2 linked regions of the Oryctolagus cuniculus genome follow. The protein of the gene in region 1 interacts with the protein of each later gene in a pairwise test. Links are inferred from orthologs where the notes say so. Each region holds a gene or a part of one and is shown on either strand. Other genes may lie near its edges. The genes, in order: RXRA and NR0B2.

What was found.
Region 2: the proteins of RXRA (region 1) and NR0B2 interact in a two-hybrid assay, tested with the Homo sapiens proteins (2 studies listed by BioGRID and IntAct). The link is inferred for Oryctolagus cuniculus from reciprocal best matches to the Homo sapiens genes RXRA and NR0B2.

Annotation. Positions count from the first base shown.
Region 1 is NC_091432.1:235,969,248-235,973,042, forward strand, and holds part of RXRA (retinoic acid receptor RXR-alpha), read left to right. Parts: intron 1-495; exon of another isoform or gene 496-643; intron 644-732; coding exon 733-883; intron 884-2,063; coding exon 2,064-2,243; intron 2,244-3,795. UniProt on the Homo sapiens protein: Receptor for retinoic acid that acts as a transcription factor.
Region 2 is NC_091438.1:144,600,386-144,604,883, forward strand, and holds NR0B2 (nuclear receptor subfamily 0 group B member 2), read left to right. Parts: upstream 1-1,494; 5' UTR 1,495-1,768; coding exon 1,769-2,309; intron 2,310-3,143; coding exon 3,144-3,385; 3' UTR 3,386-3,710; downstream 3,711-4,498. UniProt on the Homo sapiens protein: Transcriptional regulator that acts as a negative regulator of receptor-dependent signaling pathways. Specifically inhibits transactivation of the nuclear receptor with which it interacts.

The sequences.
Region 1 (3,795 bases):
TGCCCGGCGCTGTGGGCGCTGAGGGCGCTGAGGCCGGAGCGGAGGGAGGCTTTGGGCGCTTTGTGCGTGCTGGCTTCTGCAGGGGGCTCTTCCTGTCCCTGGAGACGGGGTGGGGCTGGGCAGCGAGAGGAGGGGAAGGCGAGAGCTTCCCTCTGCCGGAGGCGGCCTGGAGCCAGCCGCGGGCGACTCAGCAGCTTTCCGAGTCATTGGGGGTTTGCAGAAGCGGAGATGGGGGCTGCTGCCGGGCTGGGGTCCCGCCAGCGGTGCCGGCGGCGGCGGGCAGGCGCGAGGCAGTGGGAAGTGTCTCCTGGCCCTTTGCGCTGACTGCAGAGCTGGGCGGAGGCAGCGGAACCAAAACTGCTGTGTCATTGCGACGCGGCAGCTGTTGCCAGGGTGACCGGGTGAGTTTCCCACGCTCGCCCCGGCGGGGCGGGCAGGCGGGGCGGGTGGCCCGGCGGGCCAGGGAGGAGTGCAAGGCCGCAAGGTGGCCCTGCCCCAGACGCAGGCGGTGTCTGTGCCCTCTCCCGGGTCACGTGACCGGGGACCCCGCCCCAGCTGGCCCCGCAGGGCAGTGGGGGAGCCCAGCTCTCCTCCCTCCAGGAGGCCTCTGGGGTCTCCTTGATGAGAGGCTGCCTGTGGTCAGGTGGGCGCCGGGCAGGGGCCGACAGGGGTGGGGTCGGCCATGTGTCTGGGCTGAGAGTCACCTGGTCACCCCCCTCCCCGCCTCCGCAGCTGAACTCACCCATGAACCCCGTGAGCAGCAGCGAGGACATCAAGCCCCCCCTGGGCCTCAATGGCGTCCTCAAAGTCCCCACGCACCCCTCGGGGAACATGGCTTCCTTCACCAAGCACATCTGTGCCATCTGCGGGGACCGCTCCTCAGGTAGGGCCTGGCGGGGGGACCCGCGCCCGGAGTCGGGGCGTCTGGGGCCTGGGGAAGGGTCCCCCTGGGTAGCCCACGGCGGCCCAGATGCCCCTCCCCAGCCGGCTCCCCTGTGGCCGGGAGCGGGTCTGCCCCCCCCCCCAGTGGGGAGGGCGAGGCGGGGCCCAGCTTACGCCCAGGCAGGCTCAGGAGCCCAGGGTCTCTTGGAGTCCGTTTTGTCCACGGACAGAACTCGCGTGGGGGCACGGGGCCCTCGCTCCCTGAGGCCACTGAAATTGTCCAGGTGTCCAGCCACACTTGCCCCCACCCCCGCCTGCAGAGTGACCAGCCTGCTGCTGGCCCTGGCCTCGGCCCTCGTGTCCGAGCCCCGCCCCCACCCCACACCCCGGCAGTCCCTCAGCAGCCCTGTGCCGGCAGGCAAGCACCCTGGTGTGTAGAGCTGCGGGCCGTGTCTGAGCCCCTCCCCCATGTCTGAGGCCCTGCCCCCTGGTCCAAGGGCCCGCCCCCATCTGAGGACCCTCCCTGTGTCTGAAGCCCCTCCCCCAGGTCTGAGCCCCTCCTCCCCGTGTCCAGGCCCTCCCCGTGTCCCTTCCCCCGTGCCTGAGGCCCCCTCCCCGTGCCCGAGGCCCCCTCCCCCTGCCCCCCCTCCGTGCCCCAGGCCCCGCCCCTGGCTCATGGCCCCGCCCCGCAGGCAAGCACTACAGCGTGTACAGCTGCGAGGGCTGTGTCCAAGCCCTCCCCGTGCCCCCCCCCGTGCCTGAGGCCCCCTCCCCGTGCCCGAGGCCCCCTCCCCCTGCCCCCCCTCCGTGCCCCAGGCCCCGCCCCTGGCTCATGGCCCCGCCCCGCAGGCAAGCACTACAGCGTGTACAGCTGCGAGGGCTGTGTCCAAGCCCTCCCCGTGCCCCCCCCCCGTGCCTGAGGCCCCCTCCCCGTGTCCGAGCCCTCCCCCTGCCCCCCCTCCGTGCCCCAGGCCCCGCCCCCGGCCCCGCCCCGCAGGCAAGCACTACAGCGTGTACAGCTGCGAGGGCTGTGTCCAAGCCCTCCCTGTGCCCCCCCCCGTGCCTGAGGCCCCCTCCCCGTGTCCGAGCCCTCCCCGTGCCCCCTCCCCGTGCCCCAGGCCCCCTCCCTGTGCCCCCCCAGGCCCCAGGCCCTGCCCCCGGCTCACGGCCCCGCCCCGCAGGCAAGCACTACGGCGTGTACAGCTGCGAGGGCTGCAAGGGCTTCTTCAAGCGCACGGTGCGCAAGGACCTGACCTACACCTGCCGCGACAACAAGGACTGCCTGATCGACAAGCGGCAGCGGAACCGGTGCCAGTACTGCCGCTACCAGAAGTGCCTGGCCATGGGCATGAAGCGGGAAGGTAGGCCCGGGTGGGGGCGGGGTGGGGGCGGGGCCCTGCTCCACCGGCCACGCCCAGCACAGCACCCAGGCCCGAGCTCATCCAGCGCTGCTGCTGCTGTATGGTGGGCGGGGCTTCCCGGGAGAGGCGGGGCTTCCCTGGGAGAGGCGGGGCTTCCTGGGAGAGGCGGGGCTTCCCTGGGAGAGGCGGGGCTTCCTGGGAGAGGCGGGGCTTCCTGGGAGAGGCGGGGCTTCCCTGGGAGAGGCGGGGCTTCCCTGGGAGAGGCGGGGCTTCCTGGGAGAGGTGGGGATTCCTGGGAGAGGCGGGGCTTCCCCGGGAGAGGCGGGGCTTCCTGGGAGAGGCAGAGCTTCCCCAGGAGAGGCGGGGCTTCCTGGGAGAGGTGAGGCTTCCTGGGAGAGGCGGGGCTTCCTGGGAGAGGCGGGACTGGGTAGTGCTGGGGGCGGGGCCCTGCTCTCTGAGGGGGCAGGTAGCTCTCAGGGCAGCACTGGGCACTTGCTGTCTGCCAGGCCCTGGGATTAGCGAGGAGACGGGGCAGACTGGCCGCTGTCCCCCACCTTCCCTGGTGGCGTCCGTGCTGGGGGACGGAGCAGTGAGTGGGCTCCGGGAGTCGGGCAGCCTGGAGCGAGCCTTCCGGAGAGCACGTGGGGCCACGGGCAGGAGCCGGGGAGAAGAGTGGGTGCCCCGAGCCCTGGGCTGCGTCCCGCTCTCCGGCTGTGACCGGCTGTGCCCGGTGAAGGGAGGGTGATGTTGGGGCGCCGCCTGAGACCTGTGGGCTGTCGCCACGCCCGCTGGCCGGCAGGGTGGGGGCATCGTCCCGCACTCTGCTTCCTCATGGGGCCCCTCCTGCCCCTGCCCGGGGTCGCCGCCTGCAGGAGGCGCCTCAGGCCCCGCTCAGGGCTTTGAAGCCGTTGTGCTGGCGGAACTTGGTGTGGGGAGTGGGTGGCAGGGAGGCCACTCCCCTGAGGTCACTGAGAGCCCAGGCGTCCAGCCAGGCGTGGGCTGCGGTTGCCGCAGTGCCTGTTCCCGTGGTCTCACACGTGTGTGTCAGTTCTGTGGCTGCTCCCGTGGTCTCACACGTGTGGGTGTCTGTTCTGTGGCTGCTCCCGTGGTCTCACACGTGTGTGTCAGTTCTGTGGCTGCTCCCGTGGTCTCACACGTGTGTGTTCTGTGGCTGCTCCTGTGGCCTCACATGCGTATGTCTGTTCTGTGGCTGCTCCCGTGGTCTCACACACGTGTCTTGCTTCCTTCCCCCTGGCCCCTGATGGACGGGGCCCCGTGGGCTCTCTGCCAACGCCTCCCTGTTGAGCTGTGGCCCCAGTGGGGCCAGGGAGCTACAGACATCACGTTGCTTTGTGGGTTTGTGTGTGTGTATGCACACCTGTGTGTACATGTATGTATGGGCACGGGCATGTGTGTATATATGTGTGTATGCAGGTGTGTGTATGTACACGTGTGTATGTGCGTGTTTGTATGCTTGTGTGTATGTATGTATATGTATGCATGTGTGTATGTGCATGTGCACACGTTTGTATGTATGCATGCGTGTACACAC
Region 2 (4,498 bases), on another chromosome or scaffold:
GATAGCCCAAGTACTTGGGGTCCTTGCCATCAGTGTGGGAGACCTGGTTGGAATTCCAGGCTCCTGGCTTCTGCCTGACCCAGCTCCAGCCATTGGGGCCATTTGGGTAGTGAACCAGCAGATGGAAAATCTCTAAATAATAAATAAATAAATAAATAAATAAATAAATAAATAAATAAATATTTTAAAAAGACACTTTTTGATCAACCATGCAAGAGGAAAGATAAAATCACTTCTCTATTCTCACTGTAGAAAATAGTTTTTTAAAAATGATTGCCAGCCCCCCCCCCCCCGATCATGGGGTTATTCTCTAAGAGATTGATCCAGAGCTCTCTGATGAACTGGTTGATTCCAGGGACTGGGGAGGTTGATATCAGAAAACAAAGGAAGGTTCCAAGAATGCTGAGAGCAGATCAGGAGGGGGCTATCAAAGGCCAAATCTGTGACAATCTGGGCATCAAAATAGATAATGAAGGGAGGGTGTTGTGGCACAGGGCGTTAAACCACCACTTAGGACACCTGCATCCCGTATCAGAGTGCCTGGTTTAAGTCCTGGCACACTTCCAATTCAAGTCCCTGCTGAGGTCCCTGGGAAGCAGAGGATGATGGCAGGTGGCTGGCCAGGGTGGGCTGGGCAAGGTCTAGAGACCTCCTCACTCTCTCTCTCTCTAGCCCCATTGGCTACCGTCTGAGACGGATGTCAGGATGGAGGAGCCGTGTGGAAGTAGAGCGCCGTTTCTGTCCCAATCACAAGCAGGCCTGGCCCCACTCTGGGGGACTCAGGCCCTGGCTGCACAGTTGAGCCGGTGCGTCCCGAGGAAGGAGCCAGGACTTTAGGGTCAGGCAGCTCAGGGTCCCATTCCTTCCTGGAGGGATGGCTTTGGACACGTCACGTCACCCCTTTGGGTCTCACAAAGGAAGAATCCGGAGTCAACACTAGCTCTCAATATTGGATCGGAAGAGGCCTGGCCCCCAGCAAGTGCTCAATACAGGCAGCTGTGGTTTGTGCTCATTCTGGAAGGACTTTTCCGCAGCCATGACCTTTCAGGAGCTCTAGGTATCCAAAACTGGGACAGGGGAGTCTGCAGCATTGGGTTTCTGCAGGGCCCCCAGAACTGGAGTCAAAGGAGGGGCCACACAGCACAGTGGGCAAAGTCCTCCCAACCCCCCCACCAGGGTCCTGGCTCCCTTCCCCACAGCCTGTTTCTTACCAACAACACGAGCAGGGCCCCAAGGTTAGGCAAACAAGCTAGTGATAAGGCACTTCCAGGCTGGGCCTCGCACTCAAGGCTCGTCCAGCTCCAGAGCTGGCTTCCAGGCTTAGCAAGAGCACTGGCCTTGTGCACACGCAGGAGCAGGCACCTTTAGGGACACCAGCCACAGCCACATGCTGATTGTGCACCGGAGGCCTTGGTGCCCTGGTACAGCCTGGGTTAATGACCCTGTTTATCCACTTGAGTCATCCGATAAGAAGCAACCGGTCAGCAGGCAGGTGGCCCTGTGCCCCGCACTGGCTACTTCATTGACTGAAGTGATATCAGCGCCACGTGGAGCTCCTAACGGCCCCGCCCTCGCCACTTCCCCATCAGTCCTGCCAGGGTCAGTGTGCGTGTGCGTGTGTGTGTGTGTGTGTGTTTCAATGAACATGACTCCTGGAGTCAAGGTTGCTGGCCCATTCCTCCCTCCTGCCCACTGGGGATATAAATAGCGCTCGCAGCACAGCACAGAGGGCAGAGAGCAGGGAGGCAGTAGGAGTGGAGCCGTGACCATGAGCTCCAGCCAACCAGGGGCCTGCCCGTGCCAGGCCGCCGCAGGCCGCCCGACCATTCTGTATGCACTGCTGAGCCCCAGTCTCAGGGCCAGGCCCTCTCTCCCTCCATCACGCAGCCACTGCCTGTGCAGGGAGCATCGGCCCGTCCGGCTCTGCAGCCCTCATCGCACCTGCCGGGAGGCCCTGGACGTTCTGGCCAAAACAGTGGCCTTCCTCCGGAACCTTCCGTCCTTCGGCCGCCTGCCGCCCGAGGATCAGCGGCGGCTGCTGCGTGGCGGCTGGGGCTCCCTCTTTCTGCTGGGTTTGGCCCAAGACATGGTGACCTTCGAGGTGGCTGAAGCCCCTGTGCCCAGCATACTCAAGAAGATCCTGCTGGAGGAGCCCAGCTGTGGGGCCAGCAGTGGCCAGCTCCCCGACAGGCCGCAGCCCTCGCTGGCTGCCGTGCAATGGCTGCAGTGCTGCCTGGAGTCCTTCTGGAGCCTGGAGCTGGGCCCCAAGGAATACGCCTACCTGAAAGGAACCATCCTCTTCAACCCTGGTGAGCTTCCAGACACTTCTGGGTGGAGCTGGGAGGGGGCACGGGGCACCCTCCGAGGGCTCAGTATCTATTATACTACTGGGTCCCACAGGGCCATCTCACACGAGGGGCTGAGTGGCTAGCAGGTGGGAGCAGAGCAGGCGTGAGAACTCGGGCCGGGCCGGGCCCCCTGACCCTTTGAGGGGAGGGCGGCTGACACAGCCGCGTCTCAGCACGCTCTCAAGGGCAGGTGGCGTGGCGAAGCTTTGAAGGCTAAACTCCCGTGTGGGGTCAGAAAGTTCCCATGGCGGGGGGGATGGGGTGGGGTGGGGTGGAGAATGAAGGAGGTGCGGGGGAGGCAACTCAGCGGGGAGGGCTACAGATAGAGATGGAGATGGTGTCCTTTGTAATCTGGGGGCAGCTGAGGAAAGCGTGCCATGCCAGAAGGTCCTTGTGCCCACTGACTGCCCTCCCCGCAGCAGAACCTCATGGTGTGGTTACCATACGGACCTTTAGATGCGCTAACTCCTTTAACCCTCACGGCAAGTCTTGGAGACAGGTGCGGTCATTATCATCTCCACTATACAGATAAAGAAACTGAGGCACAGAGATTAAGCACCCTGCCCAAGGTCACTCAGTCATCAATGATGGTGCCAGAAATCCAATCCAGGCAGCCCGGTCCTTAACCCTTACCTTATATGGCCTCGCTGTCGATGGATAGATAAATAAAGTGATAAAGAAATCGATGGAGGAGGTAGTAGCGGAGCCTTGAAGGCTGAGCCGACGAGGCAGGTGATGCCTGCTGGTGGCGGGGAGAGGGTGCTTACCAGACCTGTCCGTCCTCTCTGCTCACAGGCGTGCCAGGCCTCCAGGCCACCTCCCATATCGGGCACTTGCAACAGGAGGCCCACTGGGCGCTGCGTGAAGCCCTGGAGCCCTGGTGCTCAGCAGGCCAAGGCCGCTTGGCCCGAGTCCTTCTCACGGCCTCCACCCTCAAGTCCATTCCGGCCGGTCTGCTCGGGGACCTCTTCTTCCGCCCCATCATTGGAGACCTGGACATCGCCGGCCTCCTGGAAGACATGCTCCTGCTGAGGTGACATGCTGTGGCCCAGGCAGGGGTCAGCCATAGCCTGTGCAGACGCTGGCCATGCCACTTCAGCCTGCCTGTCCCCAGGGGTGCCCCGCTGCTCCTGCACAGCCCCTCTCTCAGCCACCTCCGGACTGGGACTTCCTTGGCATGGACGTGGCGCTCCAGCTGTCTGGCAGGCCCTCTGTGGTCTCCAGAGGCTCTGCGCCCAGACTCCTGTCCCCTCCTGCTGATGGCAAAGGACTGAAGCTGCTCTTTGGGCCGGGGGAGTCCTGCTGGCTTTGTACAGAACTGAATTTAAGTTATTGGTTTTTGTAATAAAAGGTGTGACACTCTCCGAGCCTGCCACTGTGTTTTGGGCACACGACAGGGACTGTCTCACCTCCAGGGCCCACCTGCTCCTATCAGAGGAGGGCAGGGGTCGTAAGGGGCACAGGAGCCAGGCCTCAGGAAACGGGGGTGTGAGTTGTTCTGGCTGGGATGGCGATTTCATCTCTGAGATGAGATTCATTTTGCATGTGGGGGAGTTCTCAGCACACAATGTCACCTCCTTGCCTTTATCCTTGGAGCGAGAAGGCTCTTCTCCCTGTCCCACGCCTTCCACTAACCCGTCTCTCAGCGCCCGAGCCCTGCAGACTCCCTCTCTCCTCAGTGAAAGTTGGATCAGAGCCGGTCAGGAAGCAGCCTGTTCCCAAATTGAAACAGACCAGGTGACTGCAATGTCTGCAGCTTGGGACCCGTCACTTGGCCCATTCCTGCAGCTGGTAGCACAGGGGGGTCCATTATTTCCCAACAGGAGAGGGCAATGGCACCCGGGGCTGGCCTGGCAGCTACTTGGAGGCCAGGGCAGGCCAAGGTTCCGCTGGCTCACGATGGTGTGGCCTCATCTGTTGTTGGAGTCTGAAACACTTCCGCAACAGTTGGTTCAGGGCCACCACCTGTAGCTCCCTGAGTGCCCTCGCACCGCCCCTCTCCCATTATCTGTTAACCCAAGAGCCAACGCGTGCCATAGCCATGGCCTCTGCACTGCTTCATTCAGAGCCGGGCTTGGGGCTGTTCCGATCAGCCAGTGTCTGTGCCTCATCGTTCGTTAAATATTTGAACCCACTCTCCCCGGGGTCAG